Anolis sagrei: one gene and its partner. The protein of the gene in region 2 purifies or fractionates together with the protein of the main gene of each other region. This does not show direct contact. Links are inferred from orthologs where the notes say so. Each region holds a gene or a part of one and is shown on either strand. Other genes may lie near its edges.

Region 1 (8,240 bases), on a different chromosome or scaffold from region 2:
TATCCAGGGAACCATTCCCCAAATGGCAAGGCCATAAATATAACCAGCAATTGTTACACATTAGTTAAATTCATACAAAGCCTCAAGTGATGGTCTGACAGTTGGATTATGACTCTGGAAAACCTGCTCAGCCGCTGAAACTCACAGAGTCACCTTGGGCAAGTTATGCTCTCTCCGCCAAAGAGGAAGGCAGGGTGGACATTATCTGAATAAATGCTGTCAAAGAAACCCCAGGACAGGGTCACCAAGAGTCCAAATTGACTTGAAGACACACAACAACAACCATTTCAAAATGTAAGCTCATTCATATATCTTGACCCAACAATGTGATGCGGCGGCAAAAAAAGCCAATGGGATTTTGGCCTGCATCAATAGGAGTATAGTATCTAGATCCAGGGAAGTCATGCTACCCCTCTTTTCTGTCATGGTTAGACCACACCTGGAATATTGTGTCCAATTCTGGGCACCACAATTCAAGAGAGATATTGACAAACTGGAATGTATCTAGGGGAAGGTGACTAAAATGATCAAGGGTCTGGAGAACAAGTCTTATGAGGAGCGGCTTAAAGAGCTGGGCATGTTTAGCCTGAAGAAGAGAAGGCTGAGAGGAGACATGGTAAGGGCCATGTATAAATACGTGAGAGGAAGTCATGGGTAGGAGGGAGCTAATAAATCATCTCGGTGGCTTCTGCTTCAACTTGGTGAGATTTATTTTGCAATATTGGCTTCTCCTTTCTCACCAGGCAATCCACAATGGCTTGGGCCTAATCCACAGCCATTCTAAATTGCTCTACAACAGTTATGTGTCTCTAAGTCAATGCCACCGCATCACATTGTTGGCTCATGTTTAACTTGTTGTCCACGAGGACCCCAAGATCTTTTTCACATATACCACTGTCGAGCCACAAGTCCCCCATTCTGTATCTTTGCATTTCATTTTTTCTGCATATCCTCACTCTCTTCCGGACTACGGCTCCCAGCATCCCCTAGACCAGGCCTTTTAGGAGAAGATGATCCAAATGCACTTCTTCCAAGATGCAAGTTTTCTTCTCCTTGGATCTCTCTGAGAGCATCCCAATCCCTGCATGTTTCCAATTTCCTATTCCTGGACTGCAACTCCCAGCAATCCTCCAGATCAGAGGTCCTCAAACTTTTTAAACAAAGGGCCAGGTCACAGTCCTTCAAACTGTTGGAGGGCCGGATTATAATTTGAAAAAAAAAATGAATGAATTCCTATGCACACTGCACATATCTTATTTATTGTGCAAAAACACTTAAAAACAATATAATAATTAAAATGAAGAACAATTTTAACAAATATAAGCTTATTAGTACTTTAATGGGAAGTGTGGGCCTGCTTTTGGCTTATGAGATAGGATTGTTGTTGTAGTTGTGTGTCTAGTCGTTTCAGACTTAGATTGACCCTGAGCGAGGGCCGGGTAAATGACCTTGGAGGGCCGTGTCCGGTCCCCGGGCCATAGTTTGAGGACCTCTGCTCCAGATCGATAAGATAAATAGATTAGATCAGTGGTTCTCAACCTTCCTAATGCCACGGTCCCTTAATACAGGTCGTCATGTTGTGGTGACCCCCAACCATAACGTTATTTTTGTTGCTACTTCATAACTGTAATTTTGCTACTGTTATGAATTGTAATGTAAATATCTGATATGCGGAATATATTTTCAGTCCCTGGACCAAATTTGGCACAAATACTCGATACGCCCAAAATTTGAATACTGGTGGGGTCGGGGAGATTGATTTTGTCATTTGGTAATGCTGGAGTTACTGGGATTTATAGTTCACCTTAAATCAAAGAGCCTTCTGAACTCCATCAATGATGGAAATGAATCAAAAATGGCACACAGAAATCCCACGACTAAGAGAAAATACTGGGAAGGTCTGGTGGACATTGACCTTGGCTTTTTGGAGTTGTAGTTCACCTACATCCAGAGAACACTGTGGACTCAAGCAATGATGGATCCGGATCAAACTTGGCACAAATACTCAATATGCCCAAATGTGAACACTGTTTGGAGAAAATAGACCTTGCCATTTGGGAGTTGTAGTTGTTGGGATTTATAGTTCATCCACAATGAAATAGTATTCTCAACCCCACCAACGATACAATTGGACCAAACTTTCCACACAGAACCCCCATGACCAACTGAAAATACTATGTTATCTGATGGTCTTTGGCGACCCCTCTGACACCCCCTCATGACCCCAACAGGGGTCCCGACCCCCAGGTTGAGAAACACTGGATTAAATAGAGATAGATAGGTAGATAGGTACATAAATCAATCAGGAGGACTGCTGGGATTTGCAGTCCAATAATAAGTAGAGAAGGAAGAAAGGGGAGAAGGAGAAGGGAAAGAAAAGGGGGGGGGGAGATGAAGAGAAGGAAGGAAAGAAAGGGAGGGAGGAAAGGAGAGAAAGAAAGGAAAGAGGGAGGGAAGGAAGGTTGGGCACAGCAACGCATAGCGGGTACAGCTAGTAAATAAATCATAGAATCATAGAATCAAAGTGTTGGAAGAGACCTCATGGGCCATCACGTCCAACCCCTGCCAAGAAGCAGGAATATTGCATTCAAATCACCCCTGACAGATGGCCATCCAGCCTTTGTTTAAAAGCTTCCAAAGGAGCCTCCACCACACTCCAGGGCAGAGAGTTCCACTGCTGAACGGCTCTCACAGTCAGGAAGTTCTGACTGTGAGAGCCGTATATGGTGAGGATGTATTGTCGGAATCACTGGGTTGTTGTAGGTTTTTCGGGCTATATGGCCATGGTCTAGAGGCATTCCCTCCTGACGTTTTGCCTGCATCTATGGCAAGCATCCTCAGAGGTAGTGAGGTCTGTTGGAACTAGGAGAAAGGGTTTATATATCTGTGGAATGACCAGGGTGAGACAAAGGACTCTTGTCTGCTGGAGCTAGGTGTGAATGTTTCAACTGACCACCTTGATTAGCATACAATGGGCTGACTGTGCCTGGAGCAAACTTTTGTTGAGAGGTAATTAGATATCCCAGCCTGCTTCCTCTCTGTTGTTGTGCTGCTGCAATTTTAGAGTTTTTCAATACTGGTAGCCAGATTTTGTTCATTTTCATGGTTTCCTCCTTTCTGTTGAAATTGTTCACATGCTTGTGGATTTCAATGGCTTCTCTGTGTAGTCTGACATGGTGGTTGTGAGAGTGGTCCAGCATTTCTGTGTTCTCAAATAAAATGCTGTGTCCAGGTTGGTTCATCAGGTGCTCTGCTATGGCTGATTTCTCTGGTTGAAGTAGTCTGCAGTGCCTTTCATGTTCCTTGATTCGTGTTTGGGCAATGCTGCGTTTGGTGGTCCCTATGTAGACATCTAATTACCTCTCAACAAAAGTTTGCTCCAGGCACAGTCAGCCCATTGTATGCTAATCAAGGTGGTCAGTTGAAACATTCATACCCTAGCTCCAGCAGACAAGAGTCATTTGTCTCACCCTGGTCATTCCACAGATATATAAACTAGGGCTGGGCAGTTTCATTTCGTTAATTCGTAATTTGTTAATAATTCATTAATTTTGTTGATTACGAAGCGATAACGAACCATTCTGGAGCAATTTTTTAAAAAAACGAATTTTTAAAGACGTTTTGTAAATGCTTCATATTTCGTTATTGTATTCGTTTCGTTATTGTTCTGAGGTCGTTTCGTTATTATTTCCGCATATCTGGGCCAGTTTTATGGTTTAATTAGTGAAAAAAAATTATAATATCACACCAACAGTCAACAACAGAGGGAGAGGGAAGCTTCAGAAGTTTTTGGAGGTTTTTTAGCGTATTTTGCGGTTGCGTCTGCCATTAACGAATCGATTCGTTATTGTTTCGGAAATCGATTCGTTATTTTTTTAGCATTTACGAAATTTCATAAATATCGAACTTTTTAAAAGGAAAATTTTGTAATTATTTTAAATATCGAAACGCAAAATCCCCCAAAAAATGAATGGATTTTAGAAACAAATTTTTCCGTTGTTACCCAGGCCTAATATAAACCCTTTTTCCTAGTTCCTCAGAACTACCTCTGAGGAGGCTTGCCATAGATGAAGGTGAAACGTCAGGAGAGAATGCCTCTAGACCAGGCATGGGGAACCTTCGGCCCTCCAGGTGTGGTGGACTTCAACTCCCACAATTCCTTGAGGCTCGGCATTTGTCCCAAAGGCTTACCTTGGCCCAAGGAATTGTCGGAGTTGAAGTCCACCACACCTGGAAGGCCGAAGGTTCCTGACCCCTGCTCTAGACCATGGCCATACAGCCCGAAAAAACCTACAACAACCCAGTGATTCCGGCCATGAAAGCCTTCGACAATACATTGTTTCTTTATTTTTACCTGCTTTTTTCTCTCCACAAGGAGACTATTATTATAATTATCTTGCCCCGTATAGGGGGCAGCCATTCTCCCCACACACCTCCCCTCCGCCTTCCCACCCTCAGGTTGAAAGTTCTCCTTGCTCCCCACTTGTGGCTATCGGGGGCGCGCGCTCTCCCTCTCCTCCCCTTGGGCGCGTGCCCTGGCGTGGCGAGGGGGCGGGGCTCTTCCTCCGGGCTTCCCCCTCCCGGCCCCTCCCCCTGCTCCTTCCCTCCCCTCTCCCTCCCTCCCCCCCCTCCCTCCCCCGTGACATCAGCGAGGAGGTCCCTGCCGCGGCCGCCCAGGGGACGCCCCCGCCTTGCCTTGCCTTGCCTCGCCTCCCTGGCGGAGAGAAAGGATGAGAGAGCCCCGGAGTTGGCTGCCTGCTTGACCCCCTGACCGCCTGCGCTGGATCTATCTGCCTTGGCCGCGCTTCTACTCCTCCACATCCGGCTGGAGAGCAGCGGAGAGGTAAGCCGCTCCGAGAGGCGCCCATGGAGTGGGGGGGGGGGGGGGTCAGTACTGAGTGCCTCCTCTCTCTCTCTCTCTCTCTCTCCCTCGCCCCCCCCCCCCCCCCCAAAGCGCCAGCCTGCAAAGCGGAATGGATCCATTGGCTGGATGCCTCCTTGAGAAGGCGCCTCGGGTGTTGGAAGGAGCCACTCCCACCACACTTTCCGAGACTTGCTGCGGGTTGCTTCTTGATGCGGATTAGTTTCCCCTCCCCAGGGCCCCCCGCTCCTGGGGTCTGTAATTGTATCGAGTTAGTGGAGACTTTCCACGGGAAAGGGAGGGGGGCTCGTTTCTCTTCGGCATGGCTTCGGGGCTTTAGGGGTGCCCCCCCCCTTCTTTGGACTCCAGGTCTGGGGGCGTCTGCTTCTCAGGCTGGGGAGTCTCCCCTCCCAAAGAATGCCGCCTGGACTTCATTCCACGGCCAGTGTAGTGCAGACCCATAGAAACACATACTTTATATGGTCTACGCCAGGCATGGGCAAACTTCGGTCCTCCCTCCAGGTGTTTTGAAGTCCAAAATACCTGGAGGGAGGGCCGAAGTTTGCCCATGCACGGCTGTTGGGAATTGTGGGAGTTGAAGTCCAAAATACCTGGAGGGAGGGCTGAAGTTTGCCCATGCACGGCTGTTAGGAATTGTGGGAGTTGAAGTCCAAAACACCTGGAGGGAGGGACGAAGTTTGCCCATGCACGGCTGTTAGGAATTGTGGGAGTTGAAGTCCAAAATACCTGGAGGGAGGGACGAAGTTTGCCCATGCACGGCTGTTAGGAATTGTGGGAGTTGAAGTCCAAAATACCTGGAGGGAGGGACGAAGTTTGCCCATGCCTGGTCTATACTGACCATATAAGGTAAAACCTTTCCCCTGACATCAAGTCCAGTCGTGTCCGACTCTGGGGGTTGGTGCTCATCTCCATTTCTAAGCCGAAGAGCCGGCATTGTCCGTAGACACCTGCAAGGTCATGTAGCTGGCCAACCTGCATGGAAGCTTTTAAACAGAGGCTGGATGGCCATCTGTCAGGGGTGATTTGAATGCAATATTCCTGCTTCTTGGCAGGGGGTTGGACTGGATGGCCCATGAGGTCTCTTCCAACTCTTTGATTCTATGATTCTATGAACACCCTTACCTTCCTGCTGGAGGTAAGGTACCTATTGATCTACTCACATTTGCATGTTTTCGAACTGCTAGGTTGGCAGAAGTTGGGGCTGACAGCGGAAGCTCACACCACTCCCCGGATTTGAACCTACAACCTTTTGGTCAACAAGTTCAGCAGCTCAGCGGTTTAACCCACTGCGCCACCGGGGGCTCCATATAGCGCAGTCCAAACTGCATTCCTTTGCAAACGTATCCCATGGCTTTTTCTTGGTCCATTTGGAGGCTTTCAATGGGAGAAGAGCAGGCGGGAAACCCTGGTTCCCTGCGAGATTTTGGAGGGTTATTGGTCGGGTTTTGCATATGGAGACACTCAGAGCGAGACTTGTTGTCACTGGCTTGGGTTAGGATCATTGGGTTGGAACCTAAGCCCCTTCCACACCACACAATTTCTGCTTTGAACTGGAATATATGGGAGTGTGGACTCAGATAACCCAGTTCAAAGCAGATATTGTGGGATTTTCTGCCTTGATATTCTGGGATATAGGGCTGTGTGCAGGCCCGTAGCCAGGATTTTGATTCGGGGGGGGGGGGGGGGGTGAGTTTGATTCTTGGGGTGGGGCTGAGTCTGGGTGAAAGAGGGTCTACCTTAGCAAACCTTTTGTATCGTTACCCCAATACACATGAGATATATTGAGCATGGTGATCAGATCATGATATTAATAAACATAACAGTTTAAATAATGTACCAGTAAGGCCTTCTCACGGACCACCATGAGAATTTGGGGGGGGGGGGGGGTGAAGCTACATGCCTGGCTGTGTGGAAGAGCCCCTAGCGGACCCTGTGAATTTGTGGGGCAAACACTAGGAAGGAGGAGGATCATAAGGTTGGAAGAGACCCCAAGGGCCATCCAATCCAACTCTCTGCCCAGCAGGAAAAGCACAATCAAAAACCCCTGACAGATGGCCACCTAGCCTCTGTTTAAAAGCCTCCAAAGAAGGAGCCCTCACCACACTGCAAAGCAGAGAGTTCCACTGTTACATAGCTCTCACAGGACGTTCTTCCTCAAGTTCAGGTGGAATCTCCTTTCCTGTAGTTTGAACCCAGTCCTAGTCTCTAAGGCAGCGGAAAGCAAGCCAGTTCCCTCTTCTTTATGAAATTCCTGGCAATCATGTCTCCTCTCAGCTTCCTCTTCTTCAGCCTAAATATCCACAGCTCTTTTAAGACACTATTCATAGCGATTTATGGTCTCCAGATCTTTCATCATTTTAGTCTGGCTGCTTTTTTATTTATTAGGTAAAATAATGCCTTGTCCATGTGCTGGGCAAAAGCACTCAGAGGATTTCCTTGCCTAAGGGAACTTGAAGGCACACGCATTGAAGCAGATCAATCCATTCAACATCCCTAGAACTGGGAGGATGCCCTGATACATTCTGACAGCCAGCATGGGATAGTGCCTTTTGGCTGTGCCTCTGGAGCAGGGGTCCCCAAACTATGGCCTAGGGCAGGGGTCCTCAAACTAAGGCCCGAGGGGTGGATACAGCCCTCCAAGGTCATTGCCTGGCCCTCGCTCAGGGTCAACTTAAGTCTGAAATTACTTGAAAGCACACAACAACAACAACAACAACAAGCAGTCCCACATTTCCCATTGAAATACCAATAAGTTTATGTTTGTTACAATTGTTCTTCATTTTAATTATTATAGTGTTTTTTCACTACAAATAAGATATGTTCAGTGTGCATAGGAATTCAGTCATGTTTTTTTAAATTATAATCCGCCCCTCCAACAGTTTGAGGGGCTGTGATCTGGCCCTCTGTTTAAAAAGTTTGAGGACCCCTGGCCTAGGGGCTGGATACGGCCCTCCAAGGTCATTTACCTGGCCCTTACTCAGGGTCAACCTAAGTCTGAAACAACTTGAAAGCACACAATAACAATCCTATCTCATCAGCCAAAAACAGGCCCACACTCCCCATTGAAATACTAATAAGTTTATGGCAAAAGTATGATAGCTGGGACCCAATACCGAGACAACACAGCGAGTGAGAGACACGGGTGCAACAGAGTTGTGGCAAGATAGTTTGCCAGAAAGGACAACAAACAGCCAAGCATAGTGCTTAAGGCTATCCAGATATCATATGCAAATATGTTCAAATACGTAAGTCTTCATTTCTTTAATTCTGACCTGCGTCGCGCAACCAGCATTGGGTCCCAGCTATCACACTTTTGCCAAGTTCATATTTGTTAAACTTGTTCTTCATTTGAATTATT
Region 2 (7,691 bases):
GTAACACAACAACAGTGCACAAAAGCAAAACAAGGCTGGTAGGAATAACCTTTTTTTAAAGACTTAGCTGAATAAAGGTTTCTCCTTAAGACCTAAGATGACATTGTGGAAGAAAGCAGAACTCTCTGAAAAAGCCATTCATAGACAGGGTGCCAACACTAAAGAGCTATTTTCTCTAACAGCTACACTCATTTGTCAAGAACAGGAGGGAAACAAGTTCTAGAGCTGAGGTTTGGCTTTGTTTATGTGTTCCTACATGGCAGGGAGGTATTTGACTGGATGGCTCTTGTGGTATCTTGCAATTCTATGATTCTAGATCATGAGAGGTGACACTTCTCTACAAAAGTGTACTCAGACCATATAGGGCTTTCAATAATAAAAATTACCATGCTTACTTTTAAAGACCAGCCACTGAAAGTCTCAGAGTGCCCAACATCATATCACTGGCATTTGAACTCAAGTTTTCAGGTTTCAAACAGCTTTGGCTACAGACGAAACCTGCCAAATATTAGGTATGTGCCAAGTGCTGAGTTTATCTCTGAAAAGCAGTGGGTAGATGTGGGAGAATATTGCATGCTGGAGGGGCTTAGACAAAAAAAAATTACCCCTGAGAAGCAGCTGAAGAAGAGCAAATGGTCAATTGTTCAACAGCAACTAGGCCTCGTGTATTTTTCTCTGACACTGGGTGTATTTATACCAGGCATGGGCAAACTTCGGCCCTCCAGGTGTTTTGGACTTCAACTCCCAGAATTGTGGGAGTTGAAGTCCAAAACACCTGTAGGGCCAAAGTTTGCCCATGCCTGAGCTATACTGTAGAATTAATGCAGACTGACATGACTGTAACTTAAATGGCTCAATGCAATGGAATTGTGGAAGTTGTAGTTTTACAAGGTCTTGAGCCTTCTCTGCCAAAGAGAGTTGGAGCCTAACCAAACTACAACTCCTAGGATACCATAGCACTTAAAAGGGTATCAAACTATGAATCCCGAGGCAAACCTAAACTAAGTAGAAAAATCTGGTTATACCCAACACCACACCTTACAGAGCCAAACACGTGCCAGAAAACACAGAGTATCTGCAGAATGAGGGGAAAGGGCTAAGCAGAATAACAAACAGATTAATACAAGTGGCATGTGATTTTTTTCCCTTGTTTCTTAGCTCCCTATGAAAACACTAATGCCACAGTAGAAGGATATTAGATAGCACACAGCAAGCAGGAAAGTATGCTTCCTTTGTTGCTTGGCATTTGGGTGTTGCTACCAGGTTACCCTCAATACCTACACTACAGTAAAAGGAAAACAAAGTCAGTGTAAGGACTGAACTATCCCTCCCATTGCACTGGAGATCCCAAGAGGAAACCTGCCATCAAAACACCATGTACCAGGAAGAACAAGGCAAACAGGCAACAGTCAAAGACCTAAATATATTTTGAACAAGGGGAGACTCAAAAACATTTGGCCCTCCAGATGTTTTGATTTCTACTCCCACAATTCCTAACAGTCTACCGGCTATTTGGAATTATGGGAGTTTGAGAGCCAAAGTTTGCTCATGTCTGCTCTAAAAGACCTACCTGTTAAAAACTCTAGGACCATAAAACATATGGAAACATCCTCCAGTGGTTCCCAAACTTTGGTCCTCTGGGGGAGCAGCTACACTGTTGAATTACTGTATATACTCGAGTATAAGCCTAGTCTTTCAGTCCTTTTTTAGGTTGACAAAGCCCCCCTCAGCTTATACTCAGGTGAAGGTCCTAGTGGGAAGGCATGGGGCTGAAAGGACCCTCACATCTCTGCACACCAACCCAGCTCTCCTTCCTCTCCTCCTCTCTCGGCACAGCACGCGCCTTCCCCTCCTCCTCCCTTGGCACCAGTCTTTTCCTCTTTTCCTTATTCATACACACACAGCATTTTCCCCAAGATGTATGGTTAAAATAAACTACGGAGATTATTGAAAAGGATATGTAAGCATACTTACATTGAATAAGGTTAGAATAATGATTTAATCAGAGTTGGACAGTCTTATCTTAAATTACAGTTTTATGTAAATACTGTATTCAAAATCATTTAACCTACTGATGCCTCCATTAATGTAATTTTATTTGTACCTTTTTAAAAAAAATTACTAGTGGCTGCTGCATTTCCCACCCTTAGCTTAAGGTAAAGGTTTCCCCTGACATCAAGTCTAGTCGTGTCTGACTCTGGGGAGTGGTGCTCATCTCCATTTCTAAGACAAAGAGCCAGCGTTGTCCATAGATGCCTCCAAGGTCATGTGGCCGGCATGACTGCATGGCGCGCAGTTACCTTCCCGCAGAAGTGGTACTTATTGATACACTCACATTTGCATGTTTTTGAACTGCTAGGTTGGCAGTAGCAGGACCTAACAGAGGGAGCTTACCCTGCTCCCTGGATTTGAACAACCAGCCTTTCGGTCAGCAAGTTCAGGGGCTCAGCAGTTTAATGCCCTTGGCTTATACTTCAGTCAATAAGTTTCCCCAGTTTTTGTGGTAAAATCAGGTGCCTTGGCTTATATTTGGGTCAGCTTATACTCGAGTATATATAGGTAATACACTTGCCACCACTTTAATACTATGGCTCAATGCTATGGGATCCTGGGTTTGTAGTTTGATGAGGTATGAATGCTCTTTGACAGAGAATGCAGAAGACCTTGTGAAGCTTCAGCTCCCAGGAGCCCAAAGACACTCTGAGTCCCCCCAGAGATGAGAAAGGCGGTATATAAATGCTGTAAATAAATAAATAGCCACTTCAGTTAAAGTGGTGTCAAACTGCATTCATTCCTTGGTGTAGATACACCCCAGATATCTCCCAGCCAGGAATGCTGGGAGTCGCAATACACCAGAAGGATCCAAGATTGGGAATTCTAGTCCTAGAGGGAAACTTCCCATGTAATAAAATAAACAAAAACTTTCAATACATGACAGTGATGTGTGCGAGCATGGACTATAAACTCCATCCAACCCTCTTTCCTGAAAGTGGGAGGGAAAGGCAAAGAAAAGGCGTGAGAGAAAGGAAAACAAACTCCAACTGGGGCGGGGGGGGGGGTGTCATGTGACTTTGTGACAAGGCAGAACTTCATTCAAAGAACCCAGCAACCATGGCTTTGGCTCCAACGAAGTGGAAGTCCCTCAGGGCAAAACATGACTACTAAAGGAGGCCTTCCTGGGGTCTCCTTCCCACGAATGTCGTCGTATCCAAGCAACCGGGACTGGGTTTCCTGCATGTGCGAACAGGCACGCAGCTTACGGGTTTGAGGGAGGGAAGCGTGAGGAGCCGGGACTCCTGAGCTCTGCCTTTCCGTCTACAAAAGACCCGTCTTGGCCCCTTCCTGCCCCTGGACCCCGTTCTCCCCGCCGCCTCTCCTTACCCGCGTCCGTTTCCTCGCCGGGCCCGTCCCTCAAGCCAACTCCAGCCCCGCGCAGACAGGCCTGTCCGTCAGCGATGGGCGGGACCGAAACGCCGTGCCTCCTGGCCAATCCCAGCGCGTTTCGCATTCTTCCCTGGCAAATCACAGGGTTAAGGCGGACGTTGAGGGCGTTTCACGGCAGGTCCCTTCCTTCTTCTCTTTCGCCTCTCTCCCCCATAAAGGTGCAATGGAAGGGGCGGGATTGGAGGCGGGGAAAGAAGAGCGCGAGGGAGCGGGGCATACCAATCTTGAAAAGGGGAGGGCCATTCAAAGAATGCGCCGGCTTCCCAGCCCCGAAAGTTACGTTTGGTTCGTGCTTGTGCCCTCGCAGCCTCTACTGGCCAATCGCTGTCACTACAGCCTTCTGGAAGCAATAACAAGGCCGAAAGCTGGGCGTGGTCTGAGCCAGAGGCGACCCATCTGTTCTGTTCTCAGGAAGGGAAGGGCCTGTTGGTGGGGCGCGGCCAGAGTCAACGCAGGTCGGAAAGCTGCGCGCGCAGGCGCATCCGGCTAATGGCAAGCGACCTTGTGTATCCGCGGATTCAGTCATCCGCGCCTGAAAATTATTTATTTATTTACGACATTTATATGCCGCCCTTCTCACCCAGAAAGGACACTCAGAGAGGTTTACAAGATATATATACATACAATATATTATATTATTAGCATAGTACAATATCAGTATCATATTGGCGGATCTGGTCACCTCCAGATTGGACTACTGTAATGCACTCTACGTGGGGCTACCCTTGAAAACGGCCCGGTAATTTCAATTGGTTCAACGAGCGGCGGCCAGGTTGTTAACTGGAGCTCCTTACAGGGAGTGGTCAACCCTCCTGTTTAAGGAGCTCCATTGGCTGCCGTTCATTTACCGGTCCCAATTCAAGGTGCAGGTGCTTATCTACAAAGCCCTAAACGGTTTGCGACCTGCCTACCTGCGTGACCGTATCTCTGTGTACGAACCCACACGATCTGTTCGATCTTCTGGAGAGGCCCTGCTCACGCTCCCACCACCATCGCAAGCGCGATTGGTGGGGACGAGGGAGAGAGCCTTCTCGGTGGTGGCCCCTCGACTCTGGAACTCACTTCCCAAGGACATTAGGCAAGCCCCAACTCTGGCAGTCTTTAGGAGGAGCCTGAAAACGTGGCTGTTTCAGTGTGCCTTCCCAGAATAAGGAAACTCCCAGCAATATGTCCCTAAACGCACTTTAATAATGATTTAAGATTGTCTGCACATTTCTTCCCTCTCCAAAATTTCTATCCCAGTTACATGTCACCTTGTCATGCTCAGCATTATTTTTTAATTTTTTAATTATTAAATTTGGCCGGGCCATAGGTTTTTAAATACGTTGTGTTATTGTTAATGTTTATTGTTTATTTTTGCTTATGAGTTTATTTATTGTTTTGTATTGTTGATATTATTGTTTATTGTTGTATTGTGGGCTCGGCCTCATGTAAGCCGCACCGAGTCCCTTGGGGAGATGGTAGTGGGGTACAAATAAAGTGTTATTATTATATATATTACTATATTGTACTATACTATTACATTGTAATATTATTAGTAATATTACATGTAATATAAAATATATAATTATAATATCATATTATTATTATATTGTATTACATTATAATACTATAAATATTATATGTATATATACAATATATTATATTACGTTTCATTATATTATTAGCATAGCACAGGAGACAAGATGGAACTGTTCCCTGCCCCCCCCCCCCCCTCTTCACTCTGGCCCAGAGCGGCAGTTGGTGCTGGGGGGAGGGGTCCCCCAGAAAAGACATTTGAATTGCTGTCTAATTCAAAATACTATCCAAATTATAATGCTTGCTGTCACATTATAAATTATAATGTGACAAGGATCCCCGGGTTGAGGTTGCCTTCTTTCGGGGGACTACCTCTTCTTCTTTGGATAATATTTTGAATTGGATAGCAATTTGAACTATTTGGACTTTATGTGGACTGCATTTTGAAGACAGTTTGCTTTTTGTGTGTGTTTTAATTGAAAGCTTAGTATTATACTTTTCTCTGTAGGTAACTCACCCACCCTCCTCCAGCTTCAGAAGTTATTAAAATGCTAGTTTGGCAGATCAAGTTAAGTGTAATTCCCTGTACCACTATTTTTAATGTATCAGAGGTTGCCAGTTATTAATATTGATGACACCTGGTTGCCTAAGAAATATCTATTGAAATTAGTGGGTTTAGTCACATCTAGGTCTCTTGACACTCCCAGGAGGTAGATTAAACAAGTGTTACTTAACCCGTCTGAGGTGAGCCAGGGACTAGCATTTTATGTGTGCCCATTTACTACAGCTGTTCCTTTCCTAGCAATTTGTGAGCCAGCACCTGCCTTTGGACCATGACAAGGAGCAGTGCTGCATTAGACAATAAGGCATACAAGGACTCCCAGCAGCCCCAAGTACCATAGTGAATCTTGCGGAGAGTTACTATTCAGCAGCATCAAAACAACCACTGAATAAGTGCATGGCCTATGGTATGCATGGACAATGAGTGAGTAGCCCCTTTTCCTTGAGCTTCGGAAGGTCTTTTGACCAGACCACCTAAGGTATGGAGCTCATGGACATGGTAATGACTTGACACAAAGGACATTTTCCCCAACCATGAGGGGAAGGGGATGTCACAGCCATTCCCTGTCCCAGAAGATCCAAGATCTTATCAAATAAACCAATATCACCGAACCTTTTGATAATGGATTGGATCTTCGGGGCCAAACAAAGATGTTGTTTCCATATTCTACACTGACATCAGAGCCAATCACAGCAAAGCTGTCTCGGGGTGGGTGTGGGAAATTTGGATTTGACAGTTCTATATATTCTGTATTGGCCTGCCCAAAAAGCATGTTGGCTTCTTGGCAGATTACTTTCCACCTGGAATAGAAAATAAACTTCTGTGGCCTTGTTTCATCCTGGTGAGATTTATTTGGAAATAGGGAAAGTTTGGTTGGTGCTTATTGTTTACCCAGGCTTATTGAGCCCTCCTTTTGGGTCCTCTCCAGCCTCTGCTCATGGAGGGCCCCCTAAAATCGTGCTCTGCTTCAACAGGGTGAAGGCAAGAACCAGAGGTTTATTCACTTTGGCCGAATGTAGATGTCAGGGAAGAAGTGCTCCCAAATCAGACATAAAGCCAATGGATACATACATAGATACATAAATGTCTCTAAGAAACATTTATTAGAGACTTGACAGCAATTCAAATAATGGACTTTTGCTGCTCCGGGTGCTGATTGATATAGGTTACGATCTGTGTGCTGATTGGTGGAGGAGCACCGCCTGCTGCTGCAGCTGATTACTTCCCCAGTCTAACTAGTTCCTCAGTCTAGTTCCCCAGTCTGTCAGAAATTAAATTGTTATTGTCCAGTTTGAAGCTTGTGATTGTTTTGCGTGTCCGCCTTTGGGTGCTTAAAGGAAAGGAATGTGGGCAAGGTCCAGGACTGATGAGTTTTCATGGTTTTTAATTCTGTCAGTGATCTCACAATAGAAAATAATGGGTGCCAAAACACCCAGGGAGAGACAAAGACAGCATGCTGACCTTTCAGGCTGGCCATTGTTAGGTGGAGTTCAATGTTAGCCAGGAAGGATTAGCACCAAGTGATTGTTTGAACCACCAGGAAGAGTAATGAAATTAGCCCTGGCTGTCCGTCCCCCCCCCCCCCTTCCAGGAGTGCTTGTGTAACTGTGTGTAAATGTGGTAAAGTTTATCCTTTAATGTCAGCCAGTGGGACCCTTCGTGGCCATCTAGTCAGACCTCTCTTGGTTGTGGGTTTTGGGGTTATAGTTTCAATAACAAGCCCACAGGGCTTTCTTAAGAAAGGAATATCCAGACATCATTTGACAGTTCCTTCTCCTAAAATATAGCCTACAGCGCCTAATATTTATTGCTGCTGTCCCATCCAAGTAGTAACTAGAGGTGATTCTACTTTATTTTACAAGTAGATTCCAGAATCAGACAGAATCTGGTGCCATTAAAGTATTTAAACGCTATATGCCTTTGAGATAAAATGCTTGGCTTAAGATGTGATTGAGACTTTTCTGTTGCAGACATGCGAGAAGCTCTAAATTGTATGCTCAGATTAGAGGTTTTACTCACAAAAAACTAGCCTATAGGAATGAAAAGTGCTAGCTAGAACTGAACCTTATTGAGCAAGTTTTCGTCAATATGGTTAAAATTTCCAATACAAAGCTACTGAAAGCAGTGGTCTATGGAATTGTGTCAATCCACAGAAACGTTCCAGGAA

The links. The genes of interacting proteins can lie anywhere in the genome.
Region 1: the proteins of GIPC1 (region 2) and SH3BP4 purify together in Homo sapiens (affinity purification with mass spectrometry; 4 studies listed by BioGRID and IntAct, with this or other methods). This does not show direct contact. The link is inferred for Anolis sagrei from reciprocal best matches to the Homo sapiens genes GIPC1 and SH3BP4.

Annotation. Positions count from the first base shown.
Region 1 is NC_090021.1:161,633,330-161,641,569, forward strand, and holds the start of SH3BP4 (SH3 domain-binding protein 4), read left to right. Parts: upstream 1-4,660; 5' UTR 4,661-4,843; intron 4,844-8,240. UniProt on the Homo sapiens protein: May function in transferrin receptor internalization at the plasma membrane through a cargo-specific control of clathrin-mediated endocytosis.
Region 2 is NC_090022.1:128,028,289-128,035,979, reverse strand, and holds the start of GIPC1 (PDZ domain-containing protein GIPC1), read right to left. Parts: upstream 3,486-7,691; 5' UTR 3,382-3,485; intron 1-3,381. UniProt on the Homo sapiens protein: May be involved in G protein-linked signaling.